2 linked regions of the Anolis sagrei genome follow. The protein of the gene in region 1 purifies or fractionates together with the protein of each later gene. This does not show direct contact. Links are inferred from orthologs where the notes say so. Each region holds a gene or a part of one and is shown in the gene's direction. Other genes may lie near its edges. The genes, in order: SUPT16H and TOP1.

Region 1 (6,316 bases):
CTGGACCTTAGGGAAGGCTGAGCGAAGGAAGATCGATGCTTTTGAGCTGTGGTGCTGGAGGAAAGTGCTGAGAGTGCCTTGGACTGCGAGAAGATCCAACCAGTCCATCCTCCAGGAAATAAAGCCCGGCTGCTCACTGGAAGGAAGGATACTAGAGACAAAGTTGAAGTACTTTGGCCACATCATGAGGAGACAGCAAAGCCTAGAGAAGACAATTATGCTGGGGAAAGTGGAAGGCAAAAGGAAGAGGGGCCGACCTAGGGCAAGATGGATGGATGGCATCCTTGAAGTGACTGGACTGACCTTGAAGGAGCTGGGGGTGGTGACGGCCGACAGGGAGCTCTGGCGTGGGCTGGTCCACGAGGTCACGAAGAGTCGGAGACGACTGAACGAATGAACAACAACAACAAAGCCAGATTTTGTTCATTTTCATGGTTTCTTCGTTTCTGATAAAATTGTCCACATGCTTTAGCCTTTTAACTCTCTGTAAATGACAGGAGGACATCATGGGTGGCCTTTCCATAGCACGCATGCGCAGTCGGCTTTAAGAGGGAGGCGAGTGAAATAGTCACGTGCCCATCTGGCGGGAAGGGGAAAAATAGAGCGGGGGGGGAGGTCGAAGGAGTGACGCATGCGCAGTTACCGCTTTCAAAAAATAAGGGAGTAAGGAACAAAATAAAGGTGGTTATAAGGTTTATTATTATTATTCAGCAGTAATAACACATATTGCATAAACATTATTTTAAAATATCTACGACGTTTGTTAACTATTCTCCCAAATTCGTCTCAGTTGAAGAATTTTAGTCTCAATTTAAGAATTTTATTATTTATTTTTAATAATATTAATATTTTAATAATATAAAAATTATTTTATTTTTTTTAAAAATATTAAAATATTTTTAATAGGGAGAGGGATAATTAAGCAAGAGAAAATGGAAAAAATCGTCTCATTTTAATAATTTTATTATTCATTTTTAATAATATTAATATTTTAATAATATTAAAATTATTTTATTTTTTAAAACATATTAAACGTCTTTAATAGGGAGAGGGATAATTAAGCAACAGGAAATGGAAAAAAGTTATCTCATTTTAAGAATTTTATCATTTATTTTTAATAATATTAATATTTTAATAATATAAAAATATTTTAATTTATATATATATATATATATATATAATTTTTTAATAGGGAGAGGGATAATTAAGCAACAGGAAATGGAAAAAGTCCTCTCATTTTAAGAATTTTATTTATTTTTAATAATATTAATATTTTATAATATAAAAATATGAAATGGAAAAAGTCGTCTAATTTTATTAATATTATTTTTTATTTTTAATAATATTAATATTTTAAAAATATAAAGATATTTTAATTTTAATATATATATATTAAATATTTTTAATAGGAAGAGGGATAATTAAACAACAGGAAATGGAAAAAAGTCTCATTTTAAGAATTTATTATTTATTTTTAATAATATTAATATTTTAATTATATATATATATAGATATATATATATAATTATCCCTCTCCCTATTTTTCCAGAAAATGGAAAAAGTTGTCTCATTTTAAGAATTTTATTATTTATTTTTATAATATTAATTAAAATTATTAATTAAAATTATTTTAATATTTTAAAAAGTGTATATTTAAATATTTTTAATAGGGAGAGGGATAATTAAACAACGGGAAATGGAAAAAGTCGTCTCATTTTAAGAATTTTATTATCTATTTTTAATAATATTAATATTTTAAGAATATTAAAATTATTTTATTTTTTTAAATAAATATTTTTAATATTTAATATTTTTTAATAGGGAGAGGGATAATTAAACAACAAAACTGGAAAAAAAGTCGTCTCATTTTAAGAATTTTATTATTTATTTTAATAATATTAATTAAAATTATTAATTAAAATTATTTTAATTTTTTTTAAAAAAATATTTATTTGTTTTAATAGGGAGAGGGATAATTAAAGAACAGGAAATGGAAAAAGTCGCGAGAAAGTGACGTAGCCAAGTGGAGGGGGAGGGAGGAGATACGGTTGGTGGAGGGAGACTTTCACTTCCGAGGTTTTGGCAGCGTGAGAGGAAAAGAGAGAGAAAAAACGAACGGACGGTCGGATTAACCAATCAAGAAGCGTGGTGTCGGCTGGAGGCGGGACTTGTGAAACGGATGGATGGACGAAACAACCAATTAAGAAATGAGCTGGCTCCTGAGGGTTGGGCTTGAGAACGAACGGACTCACAAACCAACCAATAAAAATGGGGGTAGGAGGCGGGGCTTGCGTAAGGCGGGACTCAGAGCCCTATCAAATCGAGGAGGAAGGAGGCGGGCGTTGTTTAACAGACGGAGAAGTCGACCAATGAAGTGGAAAAGGATGGCGGAGAGGTGTGAACGGACTAGCGATCCAACCAATCAAGGGCGGAGGCGGGGTTTGCGGCGGCGCAGCGACGGAGGCAGCTGAGGAGGGGAGGAGTCGCCGCCGCTGCCGCTTCTGCCGCCGCTTCCATGGCGCTGAGTCTGGACCGCGAGGCCTACTACCGTCGCATCAAGCGGCTCTACAGCAACTGGCAGGTGAGGGCTCCGAGGGCGAGGAGAGAGGCCTAGCTACCTTCCAGGCCTGGGCCTTTCCTCACTTCCTCCCTCCACCTCGTGTCGCCACTTCAGAATGCTTCTCCCCTGGAAAGCATTCAGCCAGCCCTCCATGTTAGCTGGGGTTGAGGGCAAGTCACCAAACCTACTACCTAAGTAACGAAATTGCTAAGTAACTAAGTAACGAAATCGCCAAGTAACTAAGTAACGAAATCGTCTGGGTTTTCTTGACCTGAGATAACTGTTTAAGGGATGGGGGAGGGGTTGTTGGAGGATTTTGGAATATTTGTTTCCGCACAACAAGATTATTATTATTATTATTATTATTATTATTAACTAGCCGTCCCCTGCCACAGGTTGCTGTGATTGTAGGTGAACTATAAATCCCAGCAACTACAACTCCCAAATTTCAAGATTCTATTTCCCCCAAACTCCACCAGTGTTCACATTTGGGCATATTGAGTATTCGTGTAGAGTTTGGTCCAGATCCATCATTGTTTGAGTCCTCAGTGATCTCTGGATGTAAGTGAACTACAACTCCAAAACCAAAGGACACTGCCCACCAAACCCTTCCAGTATTGGTCATGGGAGAACTGTGTGCCAGGTTTGGTTCAATACCATCGTTGCTGGGGTTCAGAATGCTCTTTGATTGTAGGTGAACTATAAATCCCAGCAACTACAACTCCTAAATGACAAAATCATTTTTTTGAGTGAAGGACATACATTGGGTTGTTAGGTGTCTTGTGTCCAAATTTGATATAAATTCGTCCAGTGGTTTTTGAGTTATGTTAATCCCACAAACGAACATTACATTTTTATTTATACAGATAGATATACTAGTCGTCCCCTGCCAAGCGTTGCTGTGGCCCAGTCTGCTTATATGTGTTTTGTGTGTGTATATATTTGTGTATACATGTTTGCGTGTGTGTGTGTGTATATATATATATAGTTTTACGCATGCACTGTAATGTAATTTTTGGGGAGTTTTTTTGCTTTTCAAGTTTCTTCTGCAGTGTTTTTCTGTGTTTTTATGAGTGATGGTCAATCATTGCCCTGAAAGGTGTGTTGTGTCCAAATTTGGAATCAATTCGTCTAGTGGTTTTTGAGTTATGTTAATCCCACAAACGAACATTACATTTTTATTTATTTAGACTAGCCGTCCCCTGCCATGCGTTGCTGTGGCCCAGTCTGGTGATCTGGAAAATAAAGTAATGCGAAAGTGTTGGTTTCTAATATATGTAATTTTTTGATGCTGGTGGGTAAACAGTACTTCTTGTTGTTTCTTTGTCAGTGTTGATGTAGAGATTGTGTGGTTTGCCTACTCTGGAACATGCAACATATAATTGTCCTTCTTTAGGGGCGCCTTTCAAATTTATTATATCTGTCCTAACATATTTGTGTGTGTGAATCATATATAATCTATATCTATAGCTGGATGGCTCTTTGTCAGGAGGGCTTTGATTATGTTTTCTTGACCTGGTGAAGGGAGTTGGACCGAATGGCCTTAAGGCAACATTTTTCAATCTGGGGGTTGGGAGGGGGTGTCAGAAGGGTCACAAAAGAACACCAGAAAATATCGTATTTTCTGTTGGTCATGGGGGTTCTGTTTGGGAAGTTTGGCCCAATTCTGTTGTTGGTGGGGTTTGATTGTAGGGAAACTATAAATCCCAGTAACTACAACTCCCTAATGTCAAGGTCTACTTCCCCCAAATTCCATCTGTGTTCATATTCGGGCATATGTAGTATTCGTGCCAAATTTGGTCCAGATCCATCATTGTTTGGGTCCACAGTGCTCTCTGGATGTGGGTGAACTACAACTCCCAAACTCAAGGTCAATGCCCACCAAACCCTTCCAGAATTTTCTGTTGGTCAAGGGAGTCCTGTGTGCCAAGTTTGGTTCGATTCCATTGTTGGTTGGGTTCAGAATGCCCCTTGTTTGTAGGTGAACTATAAATCTCAGCAACTACAACTCCCAAATGACAAAATCATTTTTTTGAATGATGGTCACTCATTGGCCTGATGGGTGTCTTGTGTCCAAATTTGGTGTCAATTCATCCAGTGGTTTTTGAGTTATGATAATCCCACAAACGAACATTACATTTGTATTTATATAGATATAGACTACCTGTACCTGCCACACGTTGCTGTGGCCAACCTTCCCTCCCTCTTTCCTTTCTTCCTTCTCCTCCTCTTCCCTTCCTTCCCCCCATTTTTCTTTCCCTTTTCTTACTCTCCTTTCTCCCTTCTCTACCTATTTTTGGACTGCAACTCCCAGCTGTCCCCCTGATCGATCTATTTACCTATCTATCTAATCTATCTATCTTATCTATCTGGAGGATTGCTGGGAGTTGCAGTCAAGGAAAAGGAAATTGGAAATACGCAGGGATTGAGATGCTCTCAAAGAAATCCAAAGAGAAGAAAGCTTGAAAGCAGTGCATTTGGATCATCCTCCTCTCCTAAAGGGCCTGGTCTAGGGGATGATGGGAGCTGTAGTCTGGAAGAGAACGTGAATATGCTATTGTGTGTTTTGTTTGCCAGGGAGAGTTGTTTTTGTACATGCGCTGTAGTGTCTTTTTGCTTTTTTGGCTTTTAAGTCCCTTCTGCTGTGTTTTTCAGTATTTTTATGAGTGGTGGTCATTCGTTGCCCTGAAAGGTATATTGTGTCCAAATTTGGTATCAATTCGCCCAGAGGTTTTTGTGTTATGTTAATCCCACAAATGAACATTATATTTTTATTTAAATAGATTATTTACTGCATTTTTTACCCTGCTCAATCTCTACCCCATAGAGCGGCTTCCAATTTGGCAATGATTCAGTGCCACATGGCAACATAAAATCAAATAAATATACAACACATTGATCGTTGAAATTATAATAAACCATATAAATAAATACATTTAAATAACTAATTAAAACCATAGTATCTAAACCTGCAGTAATGGTCCAATCTGATTTGTTTGTCTTAACTTCATTTTTGAATATTGCATTGTGGGTGTTCCATAGTTGAGGGGCGACCACTGAGAAGGCCCTGTCTCTCATCCCCACCAGTCGTGCTGGGGAAGGGGGAGGCTTCGAGAGTAGGGCCTCCCCAGAAGATTTTAGCATCCAGGCTAGTTCATAGGGGGAGATACATTCTGACAGATAAGCTGGGCTGGAAACGTTTAGGACTTTAAAGGCTAGAGCCACCACTATGAATTGTTCTCCATAGCAGACCGGCAGCCAGTGGAGCTGGCATAACAAAGGTTGATTGTTCCCTGTGTGGTGCTCCTTTTAGCAATCTGGCTGTCACCCATTGGGCCACTCAAAACTTCCAAACAGTCTTCAAAGGCAGCCCCACGTGGAATGCATTGCAGTAGTCTATTCTAGATGTAACAAGAGCTTGTACCACTGTGGCCAAGTCTAGCTTCTCAAGGTATGGGCGCAGCTGCCGCACAAGTTTTAATTGTGCAAAAGCTCCCCCGGCTACCGTCAAGACCTTGGGTTCCAGGATCAGTGATGAATCCAGGAGAACTCCCAAGCTGCGAACCTGTGATTTCAGGGGGCGTGTAACCCTGTCCAACACAGACTGTAACCTGTATTCACCTTTCAATAATTTACTATTATTTTCAGGCAGTAAGCTGTTAGGAATTGTGGGAATTGAACGCTAAAGCACTTGAAGGGCCCAAGTTGGCCCATGACTGGACTGAAGAGAAGCAAAAAGAGTCCTCCAGTGTGACA
Region 2 (6,316 bases), on another chromosome or scaffold:
CACCACCACCCAGAGTTGGAAGGATTAGGGTTGGACATGATTAGACTAAATGTCAGGGGAAACCTTTACCTTTTAACTGTAACTATATGTGAAAACTGAATAGAAAGCAGAGCTTCTCATTGGCATCTTTGTTTCTTTCTCCGCTTAATATGTTACTGTTATTTCTGTCAATTAGATGTTATTCTCCACAATGCCATGAAATTACATTGATTTCTCATACAGAGAGAATCAGCACACTTTCATCTCTCTTTTTCAGAGATAAAATGTATTTATCATATCAAGAGCAAACCAAGGGTACTGTTGTATTGTATTGTAAATTTGAAAACTTGGCATTCTGTTAAATGTCCTTTGACCTGTAGCTGGCCAATTGGAGTGCCTCTGGTGTTGCTATAAGAAGGTCCATTGAGCATGTAGCAGGGCTCAGGCTGCATTGTAATAGGTGGTCTGTGGTTTGCTCTTCTCCACACTCACATGTTGTGGACTCCACTTTGTAGCCACAATTCATAAGGGTTGGCTCTGCATCTTATGCTCAACACCTTCCAAGTCCCCCAAGTTTTCTGTGTGCCCAGAAGGGGCCATGGATTGAGGTTTTGGGTTTTAGCTGCCACTTTTGGACTCTTGCTTGCTGAGTTGTTCCAGTGAATGTCTCTGTCAATCTTAGAAAATTGTTTCTTGATTTAAGTCATTAGTGTGCTGGCTGATATCCGAACAGGGGATGGGCTGGAGATGTCACTGTCTTGGTCCTTTCATAATTAACTGCTACTTCCCAGTGGTGCAATACCGGCTAAACAGCGTAGTTTCTCCAGTAGTGTAGGGTGCAGACACCCTGTGGGTGCAGACACCCTGTGATAATGTGGCATGTCTCATTAAGAGACACATCCACTGTTTTAGGGGGGACATGAGACAAACCTCCCTACAGGATTGCAAGACATCAAGGTCTTTGTAGACGGCTGATTCTCTCACAGCAGAGGTAACTGAGATAAAATAGAACCATAGAGTTGGAAGAGACCTCATGGGCCATCCAGTCCAACCCCCTGCCAAGAAGCAGGAAAATTGCATTCAAAGCATCCCTGACAGATGGCCTTCCATCCTCTGTTTAAAAGCTTCCAAATAAGGAGTCTCCACCACACTCTGGGGCAGAGAGTTCCACTGCTGAATGGCCCTCACAGTCAGGAAGTTCAGTGTAAGCATCCTTAATCCAGAATTCCAAAATACTCCAAAATTGCCCATATGGGTGGCTGAGGTGTCTATGAAAATACAAATAAATTCCATCTTCAAGGTGATGATTATGGTGTACACATACAGAAATACAGATATTCCAAAATCCAAAACACTACTTTGGGCTGAGTATCCTCGGGGGAGGTCCTCCTTTCACCCCTTCCTCCATCACAGGTTCGACTTGTGGAAATGAGAGAGAGAGCCTTTTCCGCTGTGGCCCCCCGGATCTGGAACTCACTGCCTGGTGAGATTAGGCAAGCCCCCACCTTAGCAGCCTTCAAGAAAGATCTCAAAACTTGGCTTTTCTGTTGCGCCTTTGGAGAGTGACCATATACCTCTTTTTGTTGCTCCGCCCATAATGTCATCCTCATATTGTACTTCCTTCTGCCGGTGTGAAGGCCTGTTTCCACTACTCCGTCTCCTACGAGCTTCTCCCAGAAATATTTCTCTTTCATTTTTATCTCATTCTCTCCTGACGTTTCGCCTGCATCTATGGCAAGCATCCTACCTACAACCCAGAACATTACATTTTTTATTTATATAGATTATTATTATTATTATTATTATTATTATTATTATTATTATCCTTTTCTGAAAAGCTTGAGTCCAGGAGTGCATCTGCATTGCATAATTAATACAGTTTGACACTGCCTGAATGGCTATGACTCACTGCTTTGGAATCATGGGAGTTGTAGTTTGGTGAGGCACCAGCACTATTTGGGAGAGGCGGCTACAGACCTTGCTAAACTACAAATCCCAGAATCCCATAGCCTTGAGACATGGCAGTGGGGTCAAACTGCATTAATTCTACAATACAGACGCACCTCTGGTCTCAAGACTTTCAGAGGGATACTCTGCCTGGAGCAGTGCAAAAAGACATCGTGTTTAAAGTCTTCCCAGAGTTGCTGCCCTTGATAGGGATTTGCAAGCAGGGCTGAAGCACATGACAAGCGGCTCCTCCAGCACATGGCGCCGGTACTTCATGTACCTGATGGCAATTCTTCAGAAGTGTCGCAAGCGTTGGGAAGAGTTTCTATAAGTAGGGGAGAAACAGTGGGCGAGAAAGCGCATGCGCACTACGCCCATGCTGTCTCTTGCACAATGTGCTGCGGGTACCTCGCTCCAGCGTACTCCCTGTATGCAAATATAGCGATCCCTCGTCTTGCTCGCTCATTGGATGCCCCGGAAGGGGCGTGACCGGATATGTAAATAGAGAGAAAGAAAGAAAAGCAGTGCACCCGGCATTTTCCTAAATGGCCGAGAAGGAAGAGGCGTGGCCGAAGGGGCACAAGGCTAGTTCTATCAGGGGGCGTGGCTTGTATGTAAATATAACCCCTCGCGGCTCCGGATTGGAGGGGAGAAGGCAAGTAGGCCGGGTTTATGCAAAGAAGGCGCCCGTTTTTTCCGTAAGGTGGCGTCCGTTCTTAGCCCCGCCCTGCGGTTTAAAAGCCGCCGCGCCTGCGCAGTGGGAGGAAATCGGGACTTAGTCTGTTACACAAGTAGCTGCTCCGTAGCGAAGGGGCCGCGTTCTCTCTTCGGCCTCGAGGCTTTCCTCCGCAGGCGTCTCGCCAGGCTTCCCCTCTCGCCTCCCCGCCCGGCACGTAGCCTCGTCGTAGGCAATGAGTGGGGATCAGCTGCACAACGACTCCCAGGTGAGGACGAGGCCTTCCTCTATAGCTCTGAGAGAAGCTAACCGACGCTCCGGCCTACCTTCGCCCATGAGGGGGAAGGGCGAAGAGGGGGGGCTTTCCCCATCCAAGCTAGGCCCTCATTCGGAATAAGGCCTAGCTGGGCGAGTTCCCTCACAGCCTAGGGAAAAGTGAGGCTTGCCTGAAAGAGGAGAGCCATTGTCTTCCTCCTGGGAAGTGTGCAACACTCTAAAAGAGGCTTTTAGGCCTCTCTTTTTCTCTCCTTCAGGCCTGGGCAAATTCCAGCCCTCCAGGTGTTTTGGACTCCAACTCCCACAATTCTTAACAGCCGGTAGGCTGTTAGGAATTGTGGGAGTTGGAGTCCAAAACACCTGGAGGGCTGGAATTTGCCCAGGCCACATCTAAACCCAGACATGGCCTGCATTGTGCCTGTGGAGTCGTCCCCATTTTGTCTCAGACTTCCCACTCTCTCCAAGATCTCCCTTCTTGATTCAATCACCTTTTAAGGACATCCTTCAAAACATTAAAATACATTTAAAGGAGAGCTGGGGAAACACAGAAACAAACACGAGGAAGCCAGGTGGGGAAAAAAGAGGGGGGGGGATATATATGTATGGGTGTCAATTATTTGAATTTGAAACATACCAATATATTTAAGGACACTCATTTCTCCCCCTCACCTTGACTGGTGTTTAATTAGTACTTTTTTGGTATGTGAAATAATTCTTAGAGCTGGAAGGAAGGGATATATTAATAAATATATTTAAGGACATTCATTTCTCCCCCCTCACCTTGACTGGTGTTTAATTAGTACATTTTTTGGTATGTGAAATAATTCTTAAGAGCTGGGAGGAAGGGATATATTAATATATGTGGATACATAAATATACATGCCCTATAAATGGGCATTAATTCCCCCCCCCCTCACCTTGACTGATGTGAAATCAATACATTGGTATTTTATCAATATATTAGTACATTTTTGGCCATGTGAAATATTTTTTAGAGCTGGGAGGAAGGGATATATTAATATATGTGGGTATATAAAAAATACATGTTAATTAATTTGCCCTGTATGCATGCGTTTATATATATTATCATCCTGAATTTGTCCAGTGTATATATTCAGGGCATTCATTTCTCACATCAGCTTGGTGTTTTATCAATACATTGGAGTTTTATCAATACATTAGTACAGTTTTTGCCATGTGAAATAATTCTCAGAGTTGGGAGGAAGGGATATATTAATATGTGTGGGCATGTAAAAATACATGTTAATTAATTTGCCCTGTATGTATGTGTTTATATATATTATTATCCTGAATTTGTCCAGTTTATATATACAGGGCATTCATTTCTCCCATCACCTTGACTGGTGTTTTATCAATACATTGGTGTGTTATCAATATATTAATTCTTAGAGCTGGGAGGAAGGGGTATATTAATATATGTGGATACATAAATGTACATGTTAATGAATTTGCCCTTTGTGTGTGTATATAATCCTGAATTTGTCCAGTTTATATATCTTTAGAGTATTTAGGGCATTCATTTCTCCCCTCACCTTGACTGGTGTTTTATCAATGCATTTTTTGAAGTGAAATAATTCTTATGGTTGGGAAGAATGGATATATACATGTAAATGAATTTGCCCTGTATGTATATATGTCTTTAATTTGTGTAGTTTATATATTTTTAGAGTATTTAGGGCATTCATTTCTCCCCCTCACCTTGACTGGTGTTTCTTTTAAAGGCATTTTTTTTTTGTTCTCAAGGGTGAAATAGTTCTTAAGATTCCTTAAAAAATAAATCTAATCTTCGCCCCCTTCCTCCTTCCCCCCAGATCGATCCAGATTTCCGAGCAAACGGTGAGTGCCGGCCTTGCCTTGCTTCCCCTCCCCTGCCTCCTTTCTCCCTCGTTCTGTGCTTGCTGAGGATGGCAAAGGACAGACATGGCGTCCCAGAGACTAAGTCCCGTCTCCTCGCTCACCGGCCCCATTGTTCCCATCGGGCTTCCTGATACTCCCCAATCTTAAAGCCCCTTGCCCATCCGACCCCATTTCCCGGGAGAGAGGGCTGTGGAGACCCCGATTCTGGCCTCCCCGGGTGTTTTTGAGCCTTTCTTGGGCCCGGATTCCCCCCTGGAAAGTCGCCTTGTCGACGGTCGGGACTTAGTCTCTGCGCCATTTTCTTTTTCTCTCTCTTCCCTGTGTGTCTCTTTCTCCTTCTCCTCCTCCCTCGAGCTGCCCGCAAGGAGCCTCCTGCAGTGAAAACATGCGAAATAACCACCTCCGTGTTCTAAATCACCCTTTCTGGATGCGGGTGGGGGGATCCTGTGGGGTTTTTGTTCTTTTTTTGCTTTTAAAAAGCCTTGATTTAGTAGCCTACCTCTTTATTCCTATCTTCTTCCCTCCTCCAGTTGTGTTTCTTTCAGTCCCCCATCCCCCTATAAACCAGACGTGGTTGCAACATGTTGCTCTTGAACAAATGCTTCATCTCTTTCAATTTATAACATATTTAAGACCAAGATGCAGAACTGGCTGGGTGGGGCTCTAATTATTGTATTCTGAAAGAGAAAGGTAGAATGGTGGGCAGTTCCAGAATAGTAGCCAGCATCACTTTGCTAAAGTTGGGCAGTTGTATGCAATTCATGTACAAAAGCAAAAGGAGAGGGGATACCAGTCTGTTATCAGCGCCCCCCCCTCCAAAAAACCCCCCTGTTTAATAGGAAGATTTCGCTTTCCTTTGATTATAGGGAATAAGGTCTAGAGGAGAGACAAGTACATTTGAAATAACATATCTGTGAAATGTCAAAATTGCTTCCTCCACTTAAAAAGAATTATATATTGACTTTAAAGTGTTTTTATGCTCACTTTCATAAAACGTTTTCATGATCTGTGCAACGTGTTCTGTTTTAATTTTAATACTTATTTATTAATACACAAAAGTTATCAGAAACATATGTAAAATGCAATACAGATATTCTCTCTCTATATATATATTTATATATATACATTGAAATATTTATTTTTCTGAATATTTCTGGTAGATAATTTGGATTTAAACCTTTTAGTATTTTTTAAAAAGCAATGTATAGAACTTTCTCAATCACCAGCTGAATTTCAAAGAGTTGCTTGAATGTAAATAGGGAGATTTTTTGCCACTCTTATTAAGGATATCATTTGCTGACTGATATATATTCAAGGATATGAATGTCTGTGTGTTGTACTCCAGGGGACAGTTCAGTGCTAACTTTATACTTAAAATGTGTCTAAGATCTCATGGATTTCAGTGTTTCTTCTTGTAATCTTCTGACTGTATAAACGTTTATCGAACATGCCTTTCTCTGGAGTCTTTATATTCAGACACTGAATTTTGCTGGTTCTCTCATCTTAACACATGTCTGGTACCTTAGTGAAAAGTGTGTCCTGTACTTAGGATATGAAAAT

The links.
Region 2: the proteins of SUPT16H (region 1) and TOP1 fractionate together in Homo sapiens (co-fractionation; 3 studies listed by BioGRID and IntAct, with this or other methods). This does not show direct contact. The link is inferred for Anolis sagrei from reciprocal best matches to the Homo sapiens genes SUPT16H and TOP1.

Annotation. Positions count from the first base shown.
Region 1 is NC_090026.1:11,053,069-11,059,384, forward strand, and holds the start of SUPT16H (FACT complex subunit SPT16), read left to right. Parts: upstream 1-2,445; 5' UTR 2,446-2,515; coding exon 2,516-2,581; intron 2,582-6,316. UniProt on the Homo sapiens protein: Component of the FACT complex, a general chromatin factor that acts to reorganize nucleosomes. The FACT complex is involved in multiple processes that require DNA as a template such as mRNA elongation, DNA replication and DNA repair.
Region 2 is NC_090024.1:216,028,048-216,034,363, forward strand, and holds the start of TOP1 (DNA topoisomerase 1), read left to right. Parts: upstream 1-2,683; 5' UTR 2,684-2,837; coding exon 2,838-2,870; intron 2,871-4,710; coding exon 4,711-4,735; intron 4,736-6,316. UniProt on the Homo sapiens protein: Releases the supercoiling and torsional tension of DNA introduced during the DNA replication and transcription by transiently cleaving and rejoining one strand of the DNA duplex.